Stegostoma tigrinum: one gene and its partner. The protein of the gene in region 1 interacts with the protein of each later gene in a pairwise test. Links are inferred from orthologs where the notes say so. Each region holds a gene or a part of one and is shown on either strand. Other genes may lie near its edges.

The links.
Region 2: the proteins of rtn1a (region 1) and ugcg interact in a two-hybrid assay, tested with the Homo sapiens proteins (2 studies listed by BioGRID and IntAct). The link is inferred for Stegostoma tigrinum from reciprocal best matches to the Homo sapiens genes RTN1 and UGCG.

Annotation. Positions count from the first base shown.
Region 1 is NC_081363.1:31,103,731-31,110,917, reverse strand, and holds the start of rtn1a (reticulon-1a), read right to left. Parts: upstream 3,016-7,187; 5' UTR 2,856-3,015; coding exon 2,633-2,855; intron 1-2,632. UniProt on the Homo sapiens protein: Inhibits amyloid precursor protein processing, probably by blocking BACE1 activity.
Region 2 is NC_081356.1:31,642,858-31,650,732, reverse strand, and holds the start of ugcg (ceramide glucosyltransferase), read right to left. Parts: upstream 3,020-7,875; 5' UTR 2,893-3,019; coding exon 2,795-2,892; intron 1-2,794. UniProt on the Homo sapiens protein: Participates in the initial step of the glucosylceramide-based glycosphingolipid/GSL synthetic pathway at the cytosolic surface of the Golgi.

The DNA.
Region 1 (7,187 bases):
ACTGTTCCATTGTTGCATTTTTTGAATTGCCTCCTCTGCTGGTACTCCTAGGTTGGTATAATCTACAAGTTTGAGTAATTTGCTCCAATATTCCGAATCTAAAACTTAACATGGATTTCAAAAATTGGGTTGCAATAATCCTTGGGGATTACCACATACTCTAATGAGCAATTGACTGCTTTCTACTCTTTATTTTCAATTGTTTGCAGGTGTTTCTCTAAATTTTAAATTTAATAAAATAGCTTGTGCTTGTGACTATGCCACATTTATTTTAGAAGTCAAGAGACACTATATTTTCAGGCTTTCCAAGCTAGATTTGGAAAATTAACCTCGAATTTCAGTTCCCCAAATTAAAGCCAATGTGACGTGATCACTTTCTTCTGAAATTACATTGATCATAACTTACTAATTTATAAAATGCACTTACTTTAAAATGCTGAAGTATACACATTTGGTGCCAACTTCAGTTTGTTTTGCTACTGAGCCATACAATCAAAAACAGAAAGTGACATTTTGAGAACAATGAATATTTTAGATGCCTGCATTCAGGATCACCATGTGGGATTCATCTGACATGTCAAATATTCATTTCTTTTTCTAAATAACTAACAAAGACTTCCCCACTAAATGAACTGGTTCTTTAATTTTATAAATAGCCTATATTGCATTTTTACTCACAAATCCTACACAGCCAAAATGTCATGTTCAAAGCAACAATTAATTTCAATTAACCAACCTCCAATAACCAGTACATGTTAAATACATTTTTTTAAAATCATTCTTGGGACATAGAAATCACTAGCTGGCCAGCATTTACTGCGTGTCCTGAGTTGCTCCCAAGAAGGTGGGGACGAGCTGCCTTCTTGAGCAGCATCAGTTTGTGTGTTGTAGGTAGACCCACAATGTCCTTGGGGAGAGAATTCCAGTATTTTGACCCAGCAGAATTTTTATAAAGTGCATTTATATATATATATATATAAATAAAATGATCTGGTACTTGGTATGCAGAGGATAATTTCAAAGTTTGCAGATGGCATTAAACTTTGAAGAACTGTAAACTGTGAGGAGAATATTGTGGAACTCCAAACGAACATTGGCAAGTTGTTGGAGTGGGCAGGTAGGTTCAATGCAGAAAAACACATGGTCCTGAATTTTGGTCAGAAGAACACAAAGACAATATAGAGGGCACAAGGAGGGTACCAGGGTATAGAGATCTGGATGTAAATGTGCACAGATCTTTGAATGTGGCACGACATGTGAAGAAGAATATAGCATAGTATTCTCAGTTTTATTCATAGGGCATGGAATACAAGACCAGGGAGGTGATGTTGAACTTGTATAAGACATTTGTTAGACCACAGCTGGTGTAATGCACACAGTTGTGGCTGCCACATTATAGGAAAAATGGAAGGCATTGTGAGACAGCAGAAGCAATTTACAAAGAATAGTTCCAGGAATGAAATGCTTCAGCTACAACAATTGATAGAAGAGGTTGTGTCTGTTCTCCCTGTGGAGAAGGCAGTTGAGCGGAGATCCCATTGTGGTTTTCATGAGTGGGCTTGAAGAATAAGTAGAGTGAAGTTGTTTCCACTTGTAGTAGAAACAGGATTGAGAGGAAAATTTATAGATATAAAGATATGTGCAAACAGAGTGAGGTTGATGTGAGAGAAAAAGGAACTTGTTCACTCTTAAGGAATGCATTGACTGGAAACATGGTGAAGGCAGATTCAACTGAGGCATTCAAGGGGACACTGAATGTATTTTCAGGTAACAATGAGGTGCAAGATCTGGGGAAAAGGCAAGAAATTAAAACATGATAATAAAACTGGTAAAGCATGATGGGCTGAATGATCTCCTTCTGTACTATCTTCTTGTGAGTCTGAGAACTTTATACTAATTTGACTTCATATTGATTGCCCATCCAACAAGAGTCAAACAACTGCTATGCAGTCAGATTTTGACCAGACCAGATGAGGACAGCTGTTAACATAATATCTGCAAATGACACTAGTGAACCAGAGGGCCTTTTATTCCAGAATTTTATTGAATTGAAATTTCATCATCTGCCATGGTGAGATGCTAAAACCATGTGCCCAGAACATTAGCCTGGGGTTCTGGATTACTAGGCATATCACTACACCACTGGCTTAATTCAACTCATGGTTAAGTTTAAAACACAATCTGCATCTAGAAAACAAAATCCCAATAGTTAACTGATTTAAAGGGTGCCATTAATACCACAAAAATTCGTCAGATGTCATAACTTAAAAACTTGTTTCAAACTGGAATTAAGCTGACTTCACCCTGTTCTAACAATCTGCCTCAGGATTAATGCCAACATTTTTAACAAAGAATCCAGTGAATTGTGCCAATTTCTATCAGACAGGGCAAAAATGCGTCTGCAGCATTAAAAATACATAAAGATTATATTCGGTGTGTCCATAACGGTGTGTCCATAATTTCAAAAGCTGACATTTCAAACATTAATGAAATGCTATTTAACCGGTCGCTGTATTCAAAAGCGACATGATCGACCTTTTAAAAAATCTTTGTGAATTGAGTAAACGATCGTATCTTATGCATAATCCGACTTCCAAACATATCTGCAGTCGGTCCACCCGCCCCACCTTACCTGCGGATGCAGTTGCCTTGGTAACAGGCTGACCCCTAGAGTCTGGCACAAGGGGCTGCTCCACCCCGGCTCGCCAGCTCTCGGCTGCTGCAGCTGCATCCCCCCCACCAACAGCCGCCCCCGCCTGCGGACTGGCACCAATACCACGATCTGTCTGCTCTGGCTCCTCGTCCTCTCCCCACTGTCCCTTTGCAAACGGCTGAACGAAAGGATTGCTTGCCATAGTGAATGGGCGGATGGATGGATTGCGAAAAGGTCCCAGATTTTTTTTTAAAGAACTTGGTCTCTTTGTGCAACTGTTTTCACAGCTCCTCTCCACCTCTCACTCTGAAGCCTGTACGCATGTGAAAATGGCTTGTTTGGTTCAATGTTTCTACCCTGACGTCAGCTGTGGGAGGATGAACTTAAAGATTGAAGTGGCTGATGGGAATCATTCTGACTACAGCTGAACGTAAATACTTATGTACCAGAAGTTAATCAAAAAGATTACCACCTTTCCAAGTTTAAATATATATATTTGAACATTGAAAGTTGTGACTATTTCTAAAATGTCACAAATGTTATACCCTGCAGTCGCTGCAAAAATTTGTCCCTACAATGAATTATTTAGAACCTATATCTGATCTGTATTCATATGCCTGGCCGATGTCTGAGTGATCATGTTTTATTTAACATCCCACGTCTCTCGACTTGGGAATGAAAAGTAGCTGCTAGGTTTTAACTATTCACATATATTCATGTCGCACCCATTGAGACTTGTGGAATTTTGACTCGCGTATTGCTTGTGCATGACACCACCTTAGAGCTTCTTTTGTCTACATTAGGCTGTTCCTTCCCCGCGCACCTTAGCACAAAATATAACAAAGGGGATCAATATCGTTTCTCTTCAGAGGTATTCTCATTTTTCATGTCATTTGCAGACTTGATTATATACGGAAAAAAAACTTAAAAGTAGTTTATTTGGAGCACACGCCCAACCCCAGAAAAGTGACATCAAAATTTCTGTTATACTGTTTAGAGAATGACCACGAAATCCGCAAAATATATACTGGGAAAGGGAACAAAATGTGAATGTCATTGTTTTGTGGACTATGAGACTGAACAGGGTAATTCAGTTTGCTAAACATACAAAACTAAACCAGTCACACGAATTATCTCGATTCTTGAAATGGGTTGATGAAGATATCTCCTCCCTAAAGCTTTCTAGTTTAGATACTGAAGCAGTTCAGAACAGAAAAGTGCCTTCTTGGAAAGTACTGTACTTAGATTGATATTTAGATTATGATTGATATTGATGGCTATCCAATTCAAAATGAATAAAAGGTAGATGCATCAAATCAATCTTAATTAGATCAAATACACTAAATCTTAATAAGAACAGACAAAGTAGACTAAAATTACTTCAGATGTCTTCAAAAAATTGAGCAGAATTGAGAAACTTTATTGATCAAGCATAATACAGTAAATCATCAAATATAGACAATTATATGCACCAGCATACAACCTTTTAAGCAAAACAATAGCATAATGCATATTCTGCATTTGAGAAATTAAATACAAAATATAAAGAATTTGCTAAAGTTAGAAGCTTGCCAGTTGCCATTCCTAAAAGAAAAACCAATTTACAAAAATGCTTAATAGAAAAGACAGTCCAAACAATGTCTTGTGATTGGTACCAAAGCGTCTGATATGTAGGTGTGAAACAGTGGTACAACACCACTGTAATTTTTTTTAAATTCCTCAAATTATTTCCCTGCTGGCAAAGTACAGGAGATAAACAACAATGCATGGAGCTTGTGCACAGTGCCTTCTAAAATGATGACTCTGTAGATTTTTTTATAGTAGATGAAGTGATTTGAAAGAACTTGAACAACAACTTCAAATAATTTTGAATAATGCTTCAAAATCTCAGAAATTCTAACACCTTTGAGAAGAATTGCAGCAAAGTTTTGATGGCAACAATTTATATACTTAAGTTGTAACTCTGCTACCTGTAATTTTAATCCTTAACAAAATCTTGAAAAAAAATTTGGCAAGGTCAAAAGCAGTTTTACAACCAAAAAACCATTTTCCATTTCTAGAAATAGACAATAATAGACAATTTTTCATGTATCAAATTCCTACGAAGAATTGTTACAAGTTAGGCTCCTGCTTTAGAGGTTTGCCTAGATATAACAGTACTCATTGTATCAAGTAGTCTGAGCATCTTACAGTAGATGTTCATCTGTAACACAAAACTATAACAGTAATCTCCCTTATAGTCTTAATTGAATATTTTTGTTCAATGTGCATACCTGTTGCTCTAATCTTTTAAAACTGGACCAAAACGATAGACCTGTGTAACAGGCAATGACAGGGGAACTGAATGCTTTGTAAACAGGTGATAAATTCAACCTCACTATAAGTATTCCATCAAGCTGAAATTTAATCTAACGTTAAGGATCAAATCTTGCAGGAGTCTGAGTGATGTGGGCTATGTTGAGATTTGTGGCAGAATCAGACAAGAAGTCCGGTGATGCCGATTTTGATGGCCAGAACATCTTGCCCATTTTTATACTTTTGACAAGTGGCAATTTTCTTCGTAGGTAGTGGTGAGTTGTTATTTCGGGGGTTGGGGTGGGGTGGGGTGGGATTTATTGCTTGTTAAACTCAACTCGCTCAACTAATATTCAGCTTCCTAATTTACCAAATAAGCTAGATGTTGTGAAAACGCAGAATGACTTGGGTAGGTGGTGTTACTCCCCAAGTATTTGATGCCCTTATCCTTCTAAATGTTGGTAGTTGTGGTTTTGTAAGATACTGTCCAAGGAAATTTCCACAGTGATTCTTCCAGATGGTACACACTGCTCCTACTGAACATCAATAATGGAGTAAATGAATGTCTGTACATGCAGTGCCAAACAAGTGAGGTGATAGTGGGTGAACAGGGCAGAGATTGCAGGCAGAGTGACATTGGGAGAACACGAGCCTTGGTGGAGGGTGGGTATGGTATCACAAATAGAATGAGTTTGAGGTATTATAAAGAAAATGTTGGCAGAGTGGAAAAAGTCATTGGCCTTCTTTCTAAAGTCCTGGCATTCCTCCAGACAGCCAAGAGTGAACAAAGAACAAAGAACAATACAGCGCAGAAACAGGCCTTTTGGCCCTCCAAGTCTGCACCCACACATTTTGCCCTTCCATACTAAAATTGTCCTCATTTACAGGGTGCAAATGACTACAGTGGAAAATCTACTTTGCAGTTGGAGCTAAGATATTTAACCTAAGGTCACAATGTTGACAATATATGCTGTTACACAATGTAACCAAAGAATATAACCAAAGAATTAAATGTTTTGTAAAAGTCAGAAATTTGGTATGAGTGAGGTCTTTTTGTAAAAAAAAGGTAGATGCTCTTTTTTACTTAATTTTACAGAAAACAGCTACAGCTCAGAGTTGTTGATGGGCTGTCGAAGCTTCAGATATTGAATCTGGAAGGGAAAAGATTGCTGCCATATCCCTCAGGTTTAAGGAAACTTAGAGTTGGCCAAGACAGGTTGGTATTGGAAATCTGGACACAGGAACCTTGTAATTTAGCTTTGGCCAACAGGTCCAAATTACTTTATAACTCATTCAGAGATATTAAGAACTGCCGATGCTGGAGTCAGAGATAAAACAGTGAGGAGCTGTAGGAGCACAGCAGGCCAGGCAGCAACAGAGGAGCAGGAAAGTTGATGTTTCGGGCCAGGACCCTTCTCCAGAAATACTTTATTGCTCCTGCAGCTCTACACTGTGTTATCTCTGACTCCAGCATCGGCAGTTCTTACTACCTCTGAGGTCCAAAGTACTTGTTGCTTATGTGAATGATAACAAGGACTACCAGCTAGATAGACAAACTGACCATCATACAGAAACAATATTCAAGTAGGTAAAATAAAAGGGAATGTGGAAGCGATAATGCAACAGTATAACTAACAGGCTAGTTACTGTTTTCAGCAGTGCTGAAGACTGTGTTTTGAGAAAATTCAGAGGCTTTGTTTTTGAATGCGAAGGTTTGACATCCCATGTGAAGTTGTCAACATTCTAAAAAGATTTGGTGACCCAAAGTGTCATTAACATCTGATTAGGTTGCTAGGTGTCCACAGGATCTATCTTGATCACACTTTTTAAAAACAAATGGGATTGGCTATCAATGCTGCTCCCCTTTTATTCACAGTCAGAAAGGAATGATTGTTACAGAATACCCGCTGATCATGTTTGTCATCTGCATGCCTTCATCTAAGATGATACAACAATTCAAATGGGGTGTCTTCATAAGGCACACTTCTGGTGGTGCATGAACAGATAACTAAGAGACAGGTTCACAACTGTTGCACATAAAGCAACTGAGTATCCTTGTGGCTGTTACCTTCCGTTTTGTTACTTTTGATAGTGGTGCAGTTTACCAAGCTGCATGATGGCAAGTTTTGGTCCATCCTTCAATTAAGAGTAACAAAGACATCATCTCAAAGATGGAATATTTCCCCAGCCCATCTAAAAATGACATTGGAATGGAGATTCAATCGACAAGCACTGATTT
Region 2 (7,875 bases), on another chromosome or scaffold:
GCAAATGAAGCTAAGGACTTGAGGAGAGTGACTTTTAGCCACAGAAACCTTGGAAACTTTCTGTAAATCAGGTCACAGTTTCTAAAACAGGAAACTTCAGTAAGTGCAACGTCCATTTTTTAAAATCCCAAAAATGTAGTTTTGAGGGACATTTGAAAGAGAATGGGGAAGGGGAAATTTGTTACCATGATATGGCACATTAAACTATGTATTTGGTCACACAGGCTGCAAAATGTCTCAATGCAACTTTATAAAACTATTCATTCAACTTTAGTTTAAAAAGGTTAAATCCTTGTAGAAAATTCCCTTCAAATTAGTGATTTAGTGCACTACAGCCACAGTTATGTGGACTAACAAATGGTTAAGGATCAGCTGAATTCACGTGACTAGCAAAGTTGCAACTGAAAGTTTACAAAGGAACATATAAAAGGAATAGATAGATGCGCCACCGCAAAGCCACAGTGACAAAAGGCCACAGATCAAAAACTTTCAGCCATTAGGCATCGAGGGGCAAATAATACATAGAGAATCCTTCAGGCTTCATGTTTGGCACTGAATGAATGTGTAACATGTATTGCAACCGTACTGAGATGCCCAACAGTGCAACATACTCAATGGAGAAAACTGGAATAACATTGCACTTCTGTAATGCCTAAATTGAATTGTGCTTTTAGCTATTTTGTGAGCAAAGTATATTTTGAAAAACGAGAGTTGTTGCAAAAGACTATTTGATAACTGAAAAAAAGAGTTAACAAATCTCATTTGACCAAAATTTACAGCATCAGTTGGCAGGTGGTGCAGTGCACTTCAATAAACAAATTCCATGAACAAGATATAACATTAGCAGTACTTTCACAATATTAACACATTTACACACAGACTATGACACACAAAAGCCACGACTGCAACTCTATCAGTGTTCTTCTATTAGTGAAGCTCAACCTTCAGTGACAGCTCTGCAAGAAGCAGAGGCCATGCACAAGCTTCGGGCAGGCTACTAGATTAACAGCTGGTTTGAGATAGCCCTACCAGTGAAGAATAAATAGTAACTGTAGTTTTTCTATCCCTAAGGGAACCATAGGGGAGTAATATGGCCAGAAGGATTAAAGGGATTGTTGTGATATTTCAACTGCCATATATTTTGTTTTGTACTTGGTTGTCCTAAACATCACTAATGTAAATGGGGCAAATTCCAGAATATCAAGAGGCTGAATGCATTATAGGACACTGGGAAGTAGGCATGAAATCAGCAATGAGGTAAAAGGGCATGTCCTCTTGAGTTTCCAATTATACCCCTTTCCAGTGAAATTCCTTCCCTGCTAATGGGCAGCAACTTTTTACAGTGCCAACCCCATGAGCCCTCACTTACCACACCTGCATGTCGAAAGTCAAATTATTCAACTGTGGTGCATCGCTGCAGATCAATATCCAAAAACTTACTTTCAATACAGTTTACTTGATAACAAAATCAGAAGCCGAAACGCTACGCAATTTTCCTTCCGTTAAAGATGCACTCAGTTCCATAATGCCATTCTGATAAAGATTAGGTCCTTCATCACAGATTGGGATTTGAACACAAATGTCCTGAGCACCTATACTGCACACCAAGAAAATTGCTGCCCAAAATTATTTTGCCTTCTCATTTTCCTACAGAATAGGACTTTAGTGGTGATTTAAAGCACATCATGTTTTTTTAAAAAAGGGCATGTTTACAGACTAATTGTTTCTCCCCAAGTAAAGACCCATTTCTCATCACCAGACTGGGAGAGTTTACAAAAATACATTTCACATTGTTAAGCACAGTGCTAGACATGCTATTTCCATTGCCAGAGGAAAGGATTTCCTGAATTGTATCCTTTTGGGCCACATGAACAAACCACCCTCCATCAATACTTGTTAAAACAATGCTATTTTATCTTTCGTCAAATCACTTACAAACAAGAAAAAGATCAATACTGTTTCCTAAAAGGCGCTGACGATGATGGAAAGAAACAAAGGTAAAAACTGCTTTATGATGGGGCTGGGGTGGGGGAGGGAAGAAGAGTTTGCATCATTGCCATCATAATATTACTACACGCAAAGACGTATTTTAATACAGTTTATGACACAGGGCTGTATCTCTTTTCGGCTAAAAGGGTTTCGCACACCATCACCAGGACTATGCTTTTATTATTGAGGTTTTATTTTAACCCATGCTGAAATTAATTACACTTTTTAAATATTCTGTTTGATTTTCAGAAACCTAGATGATACATTTCGTCTACCCTATTTCGAAAAAAAATGAAGTGTAATTGAGAAGAGAACGTGAAACATACACTTGTCTATTTCAATTATCGATGTGTTTAAATAATTAAGTGATAAGATTTCAAAAGATTTTTTAAGCAAAATAGAACAGAAGGGAATGGGCTTTTTTGTTACGATAAAAAACCAAGGACAATCGAGAACTCGTTTCACATCAAAGGGAGAGATCGGCATTAAGAGAAACAAATAGGATATAATTAAACAGAATCCCCTCCCACCCAAGGGGGTGTAGGATTGGGGGACATATTAAAATAAATACAAGGCCCAAGCTAACCCTGATGCGCAGTAGGCCCCGATTCAGTCAGACATCGAAAATAAAGTTAAAATGTTTCATTATAAAAGCTGAGCGGTCGAGGCCGTCAGGCCGGACTCGCGCTGAGTCCTCAACAGTTAAACTAACCCTAACCTACTGGCAAATGGTGAGAGATAAGGGATAAATGACCCCGTCCTGCCCACAAACAGAAACTCCCACCCCAATTCCCCCTCTTCTTACCCGTAGACGATGGACATGAAGTGCATCAACCACAGGATGACAAACAGGATCAGGCCGAAAACGGAGAGACCCTGCAGAGCAAGTTCCAGCACCGCCATTCCACTGTACCCCGCCGGCCCACGTCTCTCTCCCGGGACGGTGACTCACTCTGAACAGTTCCTCTCCCCGGTCACACTCCGTCTCCCTCAGTCCCAGCGCGGCTCTGACTCAGTCGCAGGATCCGCCCCTTCGGTCCGGTCAGCCCCTCCCCCAAAAGGCCGAAGTCCAGACTCCGCCCCCTCTGCCTGAGACCCCTCCGCTCACAACACCCCAGCCGGAACCACAACCGGAAGGAGCCCTCTTAGACGCCAGTTCTTTAGGGACTTGTTCACAGATTCTGCTCCCACCTTAGAGAATCCCTCACAGACGCCAGCTCCTGAGGGAGTCTCTCACAGATTCCAACTCTAAACAAGTCTTCACAAGTCTGCCCTGGAGCGTGTGCCTCAGACTCAACTCTATGAAGGAGGCTGTAACAGACTCATCCTTCGCCTAAGGGATCCCTCACAGACCTGTCATTCCGAAGGAGTACCTTTCAGACTCTGCCTCCCTTCAACGGGGTCCCTCAGACCCTGACCCCTGAGAGCACCCATCACAGACCTAATCCCAAAGACTCCACCTTCTGCAGGAATCCCTTATAGACCTTGTCCTGGAAGGTGTACCTCACTCTACCTGCTGATGGAGTCCCTTACAGACCCTGCCCTGGTGGGAGTCCCACAAAGACTCCACCCATGGAGGATTCCCTTACAAACCATACCTCCTGAGTGTTTCCCTCAGAGACCCTGTCCTATTGGGGAATGCTTCACACATCACCACTGAGGATGTCCCTCTCAGAACTCACTGTCTGCCCAACCTAGGAAATCCTCAGAATTCACCTTCTGAGGGATTTGTACAAAACCTGGCGTCTAAGTGACCCTGGCAGACAGCTCCAAGGAACCCTCACAAAGCCCATGCTTTTCAGGTAATCTCATTTCGGGAGACTCTGATGATTTCCATCAGCTGAGGAGGGACTCTTAAAAACCCTGTCCTTTAAGGCACCTTAAAGATGCTATAACATGTGCTCCTAAGATGCTGCTTGGCCTGCTGCATTCATCCAGCTCCACACTTTGTTATCTCAGATTCTCCAGCATCTGCAGTTCCCATTATCTCTCGCAGAACCAGACCTTACTCCTTTGATAGTCACTCATACACTGAAGGAATGTAATGTCCCTAATGATAACATCATAAAATGTTAGAACTACTGCATTTAGTTTAACTTTTCTTTGCAGGTTTTGGTTTAAGTATTCTTTAGGTATTTTCTAATCAACCTGCTCAAATGTTGTTATGCGCTTTGGGAGCTGGTGAGACTTGAACCTAAGCTTCATGATTTGGAGGTGTGGATACTATCACTGTGACACAAGTCTCTAAATTTTTTTTAATCTTTGGTAAAAACAAAGTACTATGAATGCTGAAATTTGGAAAATAAATGCTAACGAAACCCAGAAGGTCTGGAAGCATCTGTGGGTAGAGATGAGTCATGTCACACTCAGTTTTGAAACAAATACAATATTATTTCTGAGATAACAAGGTGTATAGCTGGATGAACACAGCAGGCCAAGCAGCATCAGAGGAGCAGGAAAGCTGATGTTTTGGATCTGGACCCTCTGAAGAAGGGGCCAGACCTGAAACGCCAGCTTTCCTGCTCCAATGATGATGCTTGGCCTGCTGTGTTTATCGAGCTCTACACCTTGTTTTCTCAGATTGTCCAGCATTGGCATCCTACTATCTCTGAAATGATATTAATTCTGTTTCTTTCTCCATAGGCACTGTCAGACGTACTGAGTTTTTCTAGCATTTTACTTTTATTTGGTTTCAATTAGCAGCTGTTAATTATTCTGCTATTCATTTTCTAGAGACCTTATTTTATTCATTTTAAACACCCTTACTGAAGTCATCATAAACTCTCACTTTTGTTTTCTTACAACTTCCATTTTTTTAAAACCTACATTCATTTTTTCTTTACAGAAGATGATTGACTTGAACAATTCTGTTTCTTCCCCCACAGCTTTCACCTGGCCTCCAGCATTTTTTTTGGTTATTTCAGATTTCCAGCATCTGCATCATTTTGCTTTTGGTTCAATTTATGAAACAGATGAGGCAGGGAGGGGGGGAGGTTACCTGAGGGAACACTCAATCATCACTCCTTACCAGTTAAAACAGTCAGTGATTCTATGAATTATAATTTTCTTAACAAAAGGATGGAGACATTAGGTTTGTTTAGGAAAAGGAAAATAAAAGCAAAATACTACAGATGCTGGAATTCTGAAATTTAAAAAACTGGGAAAAAAAACATTTCTCGCATCAGCTGTGAAGTCTTTACCTACTTCGTCACAAATGCTGCCAGACTTGCCTGAGTATTATGATTAAAAAGGAACCGTTTCCCTGTAAAATAGGTCTATCTTAGCAAAAACAATTAGTTGATCAAAGGAATCATCTTAGCATTTAAGGTTTAGTTGCGAAGGGTAATCAGCTGTTCAAATAAGATCTGGATATAAGTTAGCATTGGGTTCTGTTGCTCAGTATTATGGGATCAGCTCCTCAGGATTAAGGGATCTATCGTTTAGCAAAGTAATCAGTTTCTTGATCAACTTGTAGAGAAATCTGCCTTTGAGCAATGGAATCAGGATTTAAAATAGGAAGGAATTTAGTTCAGCTATAAGCTAAGTAGATCTTCTTATCAAAATTACTAGCTTCTGGGCACGCAAATTAATTTTTATTCCAAGAGGTGCACAGCCATTTCCAGCACTGACATTGGCACGCAAAGACTATTTCTCATGGGCTCATGATAAATTTGCGTCCATAGCAACTGGTAACATCACAACACCAAAAAGCCTTGTTGGATAGCAGTTGCATCTGAAATTTCTTGAGAAATGCCCAAATCCCATACATGAGTGATAGCAGAAGGCACATCTGATGCTTCGGCTGAAGTTTAACCTTTTGGTAAACTCCTAGAGCTAATGCAGCTGCAGCAGAACTGCTCACAATACAAGACAGAAGAGAAACCAATTGCATACATCTCAGTAAATCGAAACATTTCACAGCGAGCATTGCTGCTATAACTGTATAAAATATTAGTTTATCTGCATTAGAGTGCTGCATATGGAATTCACATCACAGCATGGGTATGATTGCACTAGAAAGGATATAGACATAGATTAACAACAAAAACAGAAACCCAAGAGTTGCAATAGCTGGAAATCTGAAAATAAAATCAGAAATTGCTGGTGGAGCTCTGCAGGTCTGGTGCGTTTATGGAAAGAAAACAAAATTAACCTTTCAAATCCAGCGACCCCTCTTTAGACAGGATTAATAATGATGTTAATGATGATAATACAGAATTTTAGTTATGAAGAAAATAATGATGGATTGAAGTTGTTTCCTTTGGAAGAGTGGACACTCACAAAAGATTCAACAGAGGCATACATAATTGTAAGGAACTATTGACCTTTACAGATAGATCAATAAACAAGGGCACTGTAGCGACTGGAACGAGGGCCACGTGGTTCTCTTTGTCTATGAGATCCTTAATTGGGGCTGTTAACCTGGGCCAATCAGGGAGGCCTGGTTGACAGATATAAACAGCAGATTCAGAGCATCTCATTGTTCTAGGACTGAGTCTGAGCTGGCTGGTCAGAGTCCATGAACTATGCACATGTAAATAAAGAGTGATTTGGTGCCAGGATACTGACCTCTGTGCAGCTATTTCTGGGACATAGGTTTAATTGGTAAAAGAACTAGAAGGGAGTTGAGACTCTTCTTTGACCAGAGGGTGATGAAGGTTTATAGCATATTTCCCTTTAGGTTGGTGGAGGCAAACACCATAACTGTACATTAAAAGTATGCATTTGATGTGTCATAACTACAGAACTGTGGGCCACCAGCTAGAAAGTGTGATTAAGACTGGGAACTTGACTGGCACATATTGGGCTGAATGGTCTCCTTCAGTGTCCGAACTTCTATTTTTCTCCAGTACACACTCATGTATCATACTGTATGTGGAGATGGATTAGTGTCCTTATGCTTGAGGAAAGGTACTAATACTATAAGAATAAAATCAAATACCAAACAGTAATTTTATTCATTTAGTAGCATCTATTTCCATTTTATTAACCATGTATGATCAGTTTGTACTTTCCCATACAGATTTATCTTTTCACCTCAAAATTCTGCACATAAACTGCATTAAAGTCATAATTAGTACACAGTCAAAGAGTAATAAAAGTTATTGAAATGTTACAACTAATGAAGACATATTGCTCCCTATACTTCTGTAATTACATTTTCATTAATATAGAATATGGTCAGGAAAGTATCAAGGACCAGAAAGAACTACACTGAGAGAAAGAACTACACCAAGTGAAAGAAGAAAATATAAAGGGATTTGGTTAAAATCAAAGCTGCTAGCATTATAGATGATCTTAAAGGAGTGGGTATCAAGCAAAAGACATCAGCCAATATTTACTTTGATTGGGCCACGCATGAAGTATATATTCCATTGCATTCTTTAAAGAATAAATGTCATGAGGATAATTCACAGGATGTTTGCTGCATCAGTTATTGTTGCTTTTCTCAAGCTGCCAGTAAAACTTTTGAAGAAAACAGATGTACCCACACCAAGTTACTCATGAATCCTGATTATTGATAATGGATCGATTACATGTTGTTATTTCTTCTCAAACATGATGCTGTGCAACACAGAATATAGTTTTGTGACATTTGTTAATGTTGATTATTTGCCATCAGCTTTTAATTTAATTTCCCCCTGAGCCAACTCACTTCCCATAGATGCATAATTTGTTTGTTCAGATTTAAGACCCTGGTTTTGTACTTAGTTAAGTCACTTGCAAAACCAACATAAAATTAAGCCATTTTATGATCATTCATCCCCATAAGTCATTTTACTACACAGTAAGTAATTGATCCTATGTCATTTCATGGTTCTGCATTTTAAATAATCTGTTCCTTAATTGGTCCTTCAGTATGTGGATTTAGAAAAGTATCTTGAA